Arabidopsis thaliana: one gene and its partner. The protein of the gene in region 1 interacts with the protein of each later gene in a biochemical or structural test. Each region holds a gene or a part of one and is shown on either strand. Other genes may lie near its edges.

What was found.
Region 2: the proteins of NRPB6B (region 1) and MRLK form a complex in vitro, tested with the Arabidopsis thaliana proteins (one study listed by BioGRID).

Annotation. Positions count from the first base shown.
Region 1 is NC_003071.7:1,618,386-1,622,311, forward strand, and holds NRPB6B (RNA polymerase Rpb6), read right to left. Parts: upstream 1,995-3,926; 5' UTR 1,862-1,994; coding exon 1,824-1,861; intron 1,537-1,823; coding exon 1,503-1,536; intron 1,423-1,502; coding exon 1,250-1,422; intron 1,164-1,249; coding exon 1,112-1,163; intron 1,012-1,111; coding exon 944-1,011; intron 853-943; coding exon 783-852; 3' UTR 406-782; downstream 1-405. Other genes in the region: AT2G04650 (ADP-glucose pyrophosphorylase family protein), read right to left, coding at 3,601-3,701, 3,773-3,884. UniProt on the Arabidopsis thaliana protein: DNA-dependent RNA polymerase catalyzes the transcription of DNA into RNA using the four ribonucleoside triphosphates as substrates. Component of RNA polymerase II which synthesizes mRNA precursors and many functional non-coding RNAs.
Region 2 is NC_003074.8:20,817,731-20,821,656, forward strand, and holds the start of MRLK (meristematic receptor-like kinase), read right to left. Parts: upstream 1,788-3,926; coding exon 1,057-1,787; coding exon of another isoform or gene 945-1,056; coding exon 131-944; coding exon of another isoform or gene 62-130; intron 1-61. UniProt on the Arabidopsis thaliana protein: Can phosphorylate AGL24.

The DNA of each region.
Region 1 (3,926 bases):
AAGATAACGTCGTTACAATTAGTGTATCATATGTTCTATATGAAATAGATTGAAATCAGAAATTAGAATGAACAATTTAGTGATTAACTTCAACTTTGAAGCCAGCGTTGGAAACGCATTTGCTTGTCGATCCATTGTATTAGAGTGGCTGCAGATTTTGGAGATTCATCATGACGTCTTCGATTCCTCTCATGCCAGATGGTGTAAACGGTGGTTTGAAAGATGTATTTCATCAAGAAACATGCTACACTATCCTTGCGTTGGGCCGAGACTATGGTGAGTAGTTGAGTCCAGTCACTTGTATAGTGTTGCTGAAACAATCCTCGAGCAAGCGCTTCACATAGTTTTTAACATTACTATTTCTCAACTTCTTTAAACAACATGCATAATTCTTCTCTAATCTTGCTTTTTGATTTTTAGCATCACTCATTTATGCATCAATCGATCTGACTCTGTGAGACGACAAAAGCTGGGAAGTGTGAGAGAAAAGGTTTATCAATTGAGTTGTACTTACTCAATACTCAAACTATTATAGATGTTTTCTTCTTTTGGTTTCACGAAGGATTTTCTTTCTTTGTATATGTACATGCAGGCTTGTCGAAACCCATGTCCAAAAACAACTTGGGACAAAAAATTTGTTGTTCATGCATTTTTGTTGGAGTCCCTGACTCTTGTAGTGTTGGAGAATAGGACAAATGAAGAAGTTCTACATGCGACTATATCGTAAGTTCATAATCCATACAAGAGCAGAAAGCTTTGCAAAACACATAGGCCAGATTTTATCAATCACCACCGACTTGACGTTTCCACGAGTCTTCGACGATCAGTTCATCAACTCCCCATTCCTCGTAACTGATTCAGAGTCATAAGTAAGTCGCAAGAAAAGAAGATATCAAATTTGAAAGAAGAGCTAAAAGTATTGATATAACTAATGCAATCTCACCTCATATCAGGTAGATAACGTCTAATGGTAAATGGAATCTTCCTTTGCCTAAGCTCTTTCATCGCAATCTTAAGCCAAATCATACAATAAACAACACAAATGTTCATATACATATCAACATTTACTGACAAATCATGAAAAACACAACAAGAAGGAAGAAGGCAACACCTCAAGTGGATCAGTCTCACCCTCCAACTCAACCATAACAGGAGCATTCATGCTGTATCAGCCAACAACAGTACATAGAATCAAACTTTCCGAGCCAACTAAACGGTTAATCAACAAAGATTGTTCTCAGTAGCTGACCTAATCTGCAAAGCACGAGTGCCGAGGATACGTGCACGTTCATACTTAGTCATAAACTTAGAGGTTTTACGTGGGCGTTGCACAGGTTCTGTTTCAACCTTATCTTCTGTTTCCAAAGGGTCAACATTAACATCATCGTTCTCCTTGATATCAGCATCTTCCTCTACTCCTTCCTACTCACACCAACACATTCTAATCAGCCTAGTAATAATAATAAGCAATGTCAATCTCTCTTCTACAAATAATAACTTACTTCGATCTCAGGCTCTGCTGGCTCATCTTCATATCTGCAATTGAAAATCACCACATAACATCAACAATTTGAAATCCGATGTATAAGATTCAAACGAAATTAGGGTTTTCTATCTAAACAATATGAAATTATAATCAATGCTACGATGCCAGAACAATAAGCAAATTTTCAAAAAAGAATCTCGTTGATAGACTCTCAAACTAGACAATAATTGATCCAATTGTTCTCAATCGTTTACGATTCGTCGGGAAGAAGAAGATAGAATCAACTGAAATCGAGTACAAATGATACTAACATAGGAAACAGAGAGGGAGAGATTACCCCAAGTCATCGACTTCATTGTAATCGTCGTCAGCCATTAAAGTCGATTTGAGAAATCGCTCTCCTTGCTCTCTCGATAAAACCCTAACGATCGATGCAACTTAACCGAATGACGGAGAATGCGTAAAGAAGACTCTCTATGAAGTTCGGTTTTTAATTGCCGGTTTTCTTAATGAACCGTCTATTCAGACCGGTTTTAATTTCAAACCCCATTTAAGCCCACATGTATTTTTTTTTTTTCCCCTAACATAGCCCTGGGCATGTGGTATTCGGGTCAGGGTCGGGTCGGATTTTTCGGGTTCGAATTTTTGGGTTTAGAAATTTTGGATCCGTATGGTTATATCAACAATTTCGGGTCGGGTTCGGTTCGGCTTCACTTCGGGTCCGATAATTCAGGTATTAGTTAAAAAAACCATAAGTAACCAAAACTATTTCGGGTTTGAGTACTACTTACCCAAACTTTGTCCAAATATACCCAAACATACATAAAAATATCCATAAAACCCGAAAGATCTGAAATTATAACAAGTTTTTCCTTAAGCCAATAATATAAAACAAGAAGTAAACCTTGTTTTAAGCTTGTTCCATAACTCAAATCATTAAACAAGTCACATTATTAGTGTATATATATCCTCATATGTATATATAGGGCTGGGCAAAAAACGGGACCCGATATCGAACCTGATACCCGAACCGAAAAATCGGGTTGGGGTGGGTTAGGGTTTTAAGAAATTACTTCATTGGGTAAAGTTTTAGTAAACCCGTGGGTATCAGGTCGGTCCGGGGTTTATCCGTTACCCAAACAGGATACCCGAACATAGATTTAATATCAAAAATATTAATTATATTTAATCTTAATATAATGTAATAATCTAAAATTATAATTATAAATCTAAATATATCAATTACTTTTAGATCTAAATACCCAACTATTTAAAAATTATTTGTTATGTTTGTCAAAATTTAGTATAATATATCTAAATCTAATTAAATTATTAAAATTTGTTAATATTTAAGGTTTTTTTTTTGTTGGGTACCCGCTATCTACACATAAAATACCCGTTTTCATTTGTTTGGCTATTCTTAGGGCCTGAAATTCTTTACCCAAGCCGACCCGAACCCGAATGTACCCGAACTAGACCGAAATCGAAAATTTTCATTTTACCCTATTGGGTAGTAAATCCATTACCCATTTAACCCGAACCCGAACGGGTTTTACCCGAATCCGAACGGGTTACCCATATGCGCAGCCCTATGTATATATATGTTCGGGTAATAAAAAGTACCCACGGGTATCGGGTTCAGTTCGGGTAATTTCCGGTACCCACGGTTATTTGAAAACAGAACCCGATCAAGTAATTAGCCGGAACCGAAGTAGAACGGGTTTGGTTATTTCGAGTCAAGTTCAGTTCGGTTCTTCGGGTTCCGGTATTATGTCCGGGCCTACCCCCACAAACGAAGTCAAGATAAACAATTTTTCTAGTGAGCAATTTGCACAAAAGAAAGGAGCCTAAGGAGGTATTGAACACTAGTGATTACACAATCAAGAAGCAAAACTTCTTTGATTCCTTGTTATCTTAGATCTTTTAAAACTCTTTCTTCTAAAATCTTTTTAGTATCTAAACACAAAGTACAGTGAGAGTTTACAAATCTTCCATAGTTTCACTTACTCAAAATCTAATCCTGTGAACTCAATTCATGTAATACACAATTCTGTAAAAGTTTCTCTGTTTCAATTAAAAAGAAAAAAAATCCAAACGATAATCATTGTGATAAATCACAAGATGATATCATCTTGAACACTAACATTAAGAGTCTTATTCTGGAGAACAATGCTTCCTATGACTGCTACTTCATCTTCCACAGTTACAGCCTCACCTGCAGAAACAAATTAATCAGAAAAAATATAACGAAAAATTTGTTGAACAAAAAGAAAACAATGAAGTTACCAAGAATGGTAATCCCAAGCCTGTCATTGTAATCTCCACTAGCTTGAACTCTTGACCATCTACCTATAGAAGATTTCCATCCGATAATTGAGTTTATAACAACAGCATTCTCCTGCATTTAACAAGAGTAGAGAACATTAAACAACGAATCTTT
Region 2 (3,926 bases), on another chromosome or scaffold:
ACAAAATGGTACTTGTAAAGCAAAATTGTCTTTAACTTTAAGACTTTAGTATCAAACTTACCATGGAGAAACGTGGCAAGGCTTCCTCTAGACATGTAATCGAAGACGACAAGCTTCTCTCCTTTAGGGCCTAAGTAATAAGCTCTGAGTGCAAGGAGATTCGGATGCCGGATTCTTCCCAAGACGTTAATCTCATTCTCAAACTCTTTTTGACTTTTGGTGATCTTTCTCTCAATCTCTTCACTGCTACTTGACTTCCATCTTCAAGTGTAGCTTTGTACACAGTCCCATAAGTGCTTTTCCCCATTATCTCTGCTGTTGCACACAAAAGATCATCTGCAGTAAACGCCATTGGTCCATCAAAATGAACCAGCTTCCCTCCAGTTTCACCTCCAGCTTCAGCTTCCCCTCCTTTCTCAGTCTTTGCGGCTACAGCTCCAGGTCCAGCCTCTCCGCCCTTGGCTTTGGTTTCATTGGCTTTCTTCCTCAGCAAGCAACATAGAACACAAACAAGGATAAGCATAACTATGAGGAGTGCTCCAGACGCAATGAGGATGATGTCTTTGGTACTCAGATTCCTGTGGGATGGTTTCCTTTCTTTTTCAGGAGACGGTGAAGGAAGAGTAGGACATGGTGTCGAAACGCTGTATCCGCAAAGCAGTGAGTTCCCGACAAAAGAAGAGGAATTGAACTTTTGGGACAAGAGAGTAGGAACAGGACCAGATAAGTTGTTATAAGAGACATTGAAGAAGTTCAGGCTTTCCAGGTCAGAAATCGAAATAGGAATCTCTCCGGTGAGTTTGTTTTGAGACAAATCCAAATGTATAAGAGAAGAAATGTTCCCTAGGGTTTCAGGGATATGGCCACTAACACTGTTACCACTAATATCCATTTTTCTAAGCTTAGTGAGTTTGCTTAGCTCAGAGGGTAGGGTTCCACGGATCCTATTATGACTAAAGGAAAAAATCTTGCAGCTGAGTTAAGTTGCAGAGTGAAAATGGGAACGGACCAGAGAGAGAGTTGTGATCAAGAGATAAGACACGGAGATTAAGAGACTTACTACCCCAAGTATCTAAGATTGGACCAGAGAGGTTGTTATGGTCAAGAGCAAGAAACTGAAGGGAAGAAGACCGAGAGAGACTCACTGGGATTTGACCAGACAGTGAATTAAAGCTGAGATTAAGCCTAAGAAGCTTAGAAGAGTCAGCAAGATTCGGTGGAATAATCTCAGAGAGCAAGTTATTGCTGAGATCAAGCGTTTGAAGGAAATGTGATACACCGAGAGAAGCAGGGATTGAGCCAGTGAGACGGTTGTTGAAAAGCTGAACTCCTCTAAGATTAGGAATGAGTCCCAATGACATTGGAATCGAACCTCCAAGGTTGTTGTCATGAAGACTAAGCTTACGAAGAGCTTGAAGCTGTCCGATTTTCTCAGAGATTCTACCTCCAAGACTCTTCCATGGAAGTTGAATGACGATGACTTGACCTTGAGCACATTTTATTCCAGCCCAGCCTCCAGAGCAAGCACTGAATCCAGAACCGTTCCAGCTTCTCAAGAAGCCTCTTGGATCAATCAGTTCTTGTTTAACTGCTTGAAGACCTTGGTAATCAGCTTGTGTTATCACTACACCATCCCAGGCTTGGCTTGAGCAGGGAGGGACGAAGAAGAGGAGGCATATGATTAGATGAAGGAGAAATCGGCTTCGAAGTGAAGCCTTAGGTTGATCAATGTCGGTGTTGATCATACTCAGAGAAGTAATAGCTTGGTTTTGGGTGATAAACTCCATTAGAAGATGAAGAAGAAGAAGAAGAGAGAAGAAAGAAGATAATTGGAGTTCTTTATGGGTGAATAGTAGTTGTGATGAGGATGGAACAGGGAAAGATTTTGGATTTGAAAGAGTTTTGTAAAGAGAGAGATGGGTTTCGTTGGAAAAGAACAACAGAGCACGTGACCATCTTAGAGAGAGAGAGAGAATCTTGGTCTGTGTTCTTTTATCTTGTAGTGAGAGAGAAGTGAGAGAAAGAGAGAGAAGGGAGACAAAGATCAGGTGATGGTAATAAGAGGTTGGGGGGTGGGAACAGTGGATCTCTCTGTTCTGGCCTAATATTAGTAAATGGGCTCCAACGGCTAGTTTCATTTATTCATATTAGTTACTTGTGTTTAATAGTGTTTTGAAAACACTTTGTTTTGTTCGATGGGTTGCTCTTGCTCATGTCATTTTGTTTAACAGTGTTTAGTAAAATACTAGTATATGGATTTCATTGGGAATTTGGAATTACTAATACATAAAGGTAGATTTTGTTAACTAAGTATCAAAAAACGATAAAAAATCATTAATCACAATACAAACATGTTGGTTCTGACAAAGATGAAAAATTTACTAGTATTACAAAAACAAAAATTTTGATTTGTCAAGAGTACTATCATGCTTCGAATTTGAACCAGTAATATATTACTTACATTCAAATTTACCAGTTGTTTTCTTGGAATCTTTTTTTTATAGCTCTTAGTTGTTTGTATGTGAGGTCAACATTATTTAATTTTATTCCAAATCTAAGGAAAGAGATCAAAGTATTGTTCTTCCGAATAAAGTAACAAATAAAGCAGACAACATAATTTTATTTTATTCTTGCAGACCAGCTTCGTTTAATGCGTCGGAGCTGCCTAATGGACACGACACACGAACAACAAACCGCTCCGCTCCTTCACTTCTCCTCCTAACGGCTATATTTGTGGGACCTACAAGCCATTGGATCACTAGATCTTGTAAAGAAGCCCAAAGGAAATGAACAAGCCATTTTATTTATGGTTACTGACTAAAATGCCCTCGCAAATGGAAAGTAAATAAAGTAGTACAGTTTCAGAAGAAGCAGACACACAACTTTGAAACTTGAAAGTGAAACTTTTCCTGGCTTACAATTAAACAAAGAAAAGAAGGGAAGGGTTGTGCCGTACGAGGTTATTATGTTGACGCTGATCTATCTTTGCCCTTTTTAACATAAGGCTGGTACACGTGTTTAAAGTGTTTGGATACTAGATGTGGAGGTTTTGAACTTCAATTTTTTTAAAAATTCTTGCATATACATTTTTCACTTCAAACACATTTTCTGAACATATACCAAACCTGACCATTTCTCTTATGAACAAGTCATCTCTATAATGAAGTCTATAATGACATATCACTCCTGTGGTTGCAAGAACAAAATTCTGGAGACACTCTTACCTTGAACTCAAATGGTATGTCATGTATTGTAAATACTATATCACAAGATTAGTAATTCTCAAGCCATAAGGTTTGGAGGAATCGAAACAAGATGGTTTCCGAAGGCGAATTTTATCATGCTGATGAAGCTGTTGCTAAAGCAATTAGATATTAGCCCCGGGAAAAATAAAGTCCAAACAATCTCTCAAAGTTAAACTGTACTCAAACCATCAACCTCGAACCCCAAAGCAAAGCCTAATTTTGTGAACAATAAACCAACTAACAATGCCCTACTTTTATAATCGGATCATCCTCATGTCCACCAAATCTGTTAATAAGTTTTATATTTCACAAAGTGGGAACTATGAGCAAATTAGCAGATTGATACTAGTTAGGAAAGGCAAGACAGTCATATATATGACTATATTCCATCCATAAAAGCATGAAAGTTACTTACTTCAAATCACAAACCAATGAGAAAATATAGGAGATAACCACAGTTGAGACTTATTAACACTAAATTAGATTAATATATACTAACTCGCCACTAGACCATCAATGCAACAGCTATGAACACTAACCTAATAAACGAAAAAGATTCCATGTGCGTTAACATTGAAAGTAACGTAAATCTCAAATACGAAGATGACAAAACAAGGGTTAAGAGAGTTCACCAGTTATACCCCAAATCGATCTTCTCTAAGTGATTGGCTACTATCCTTT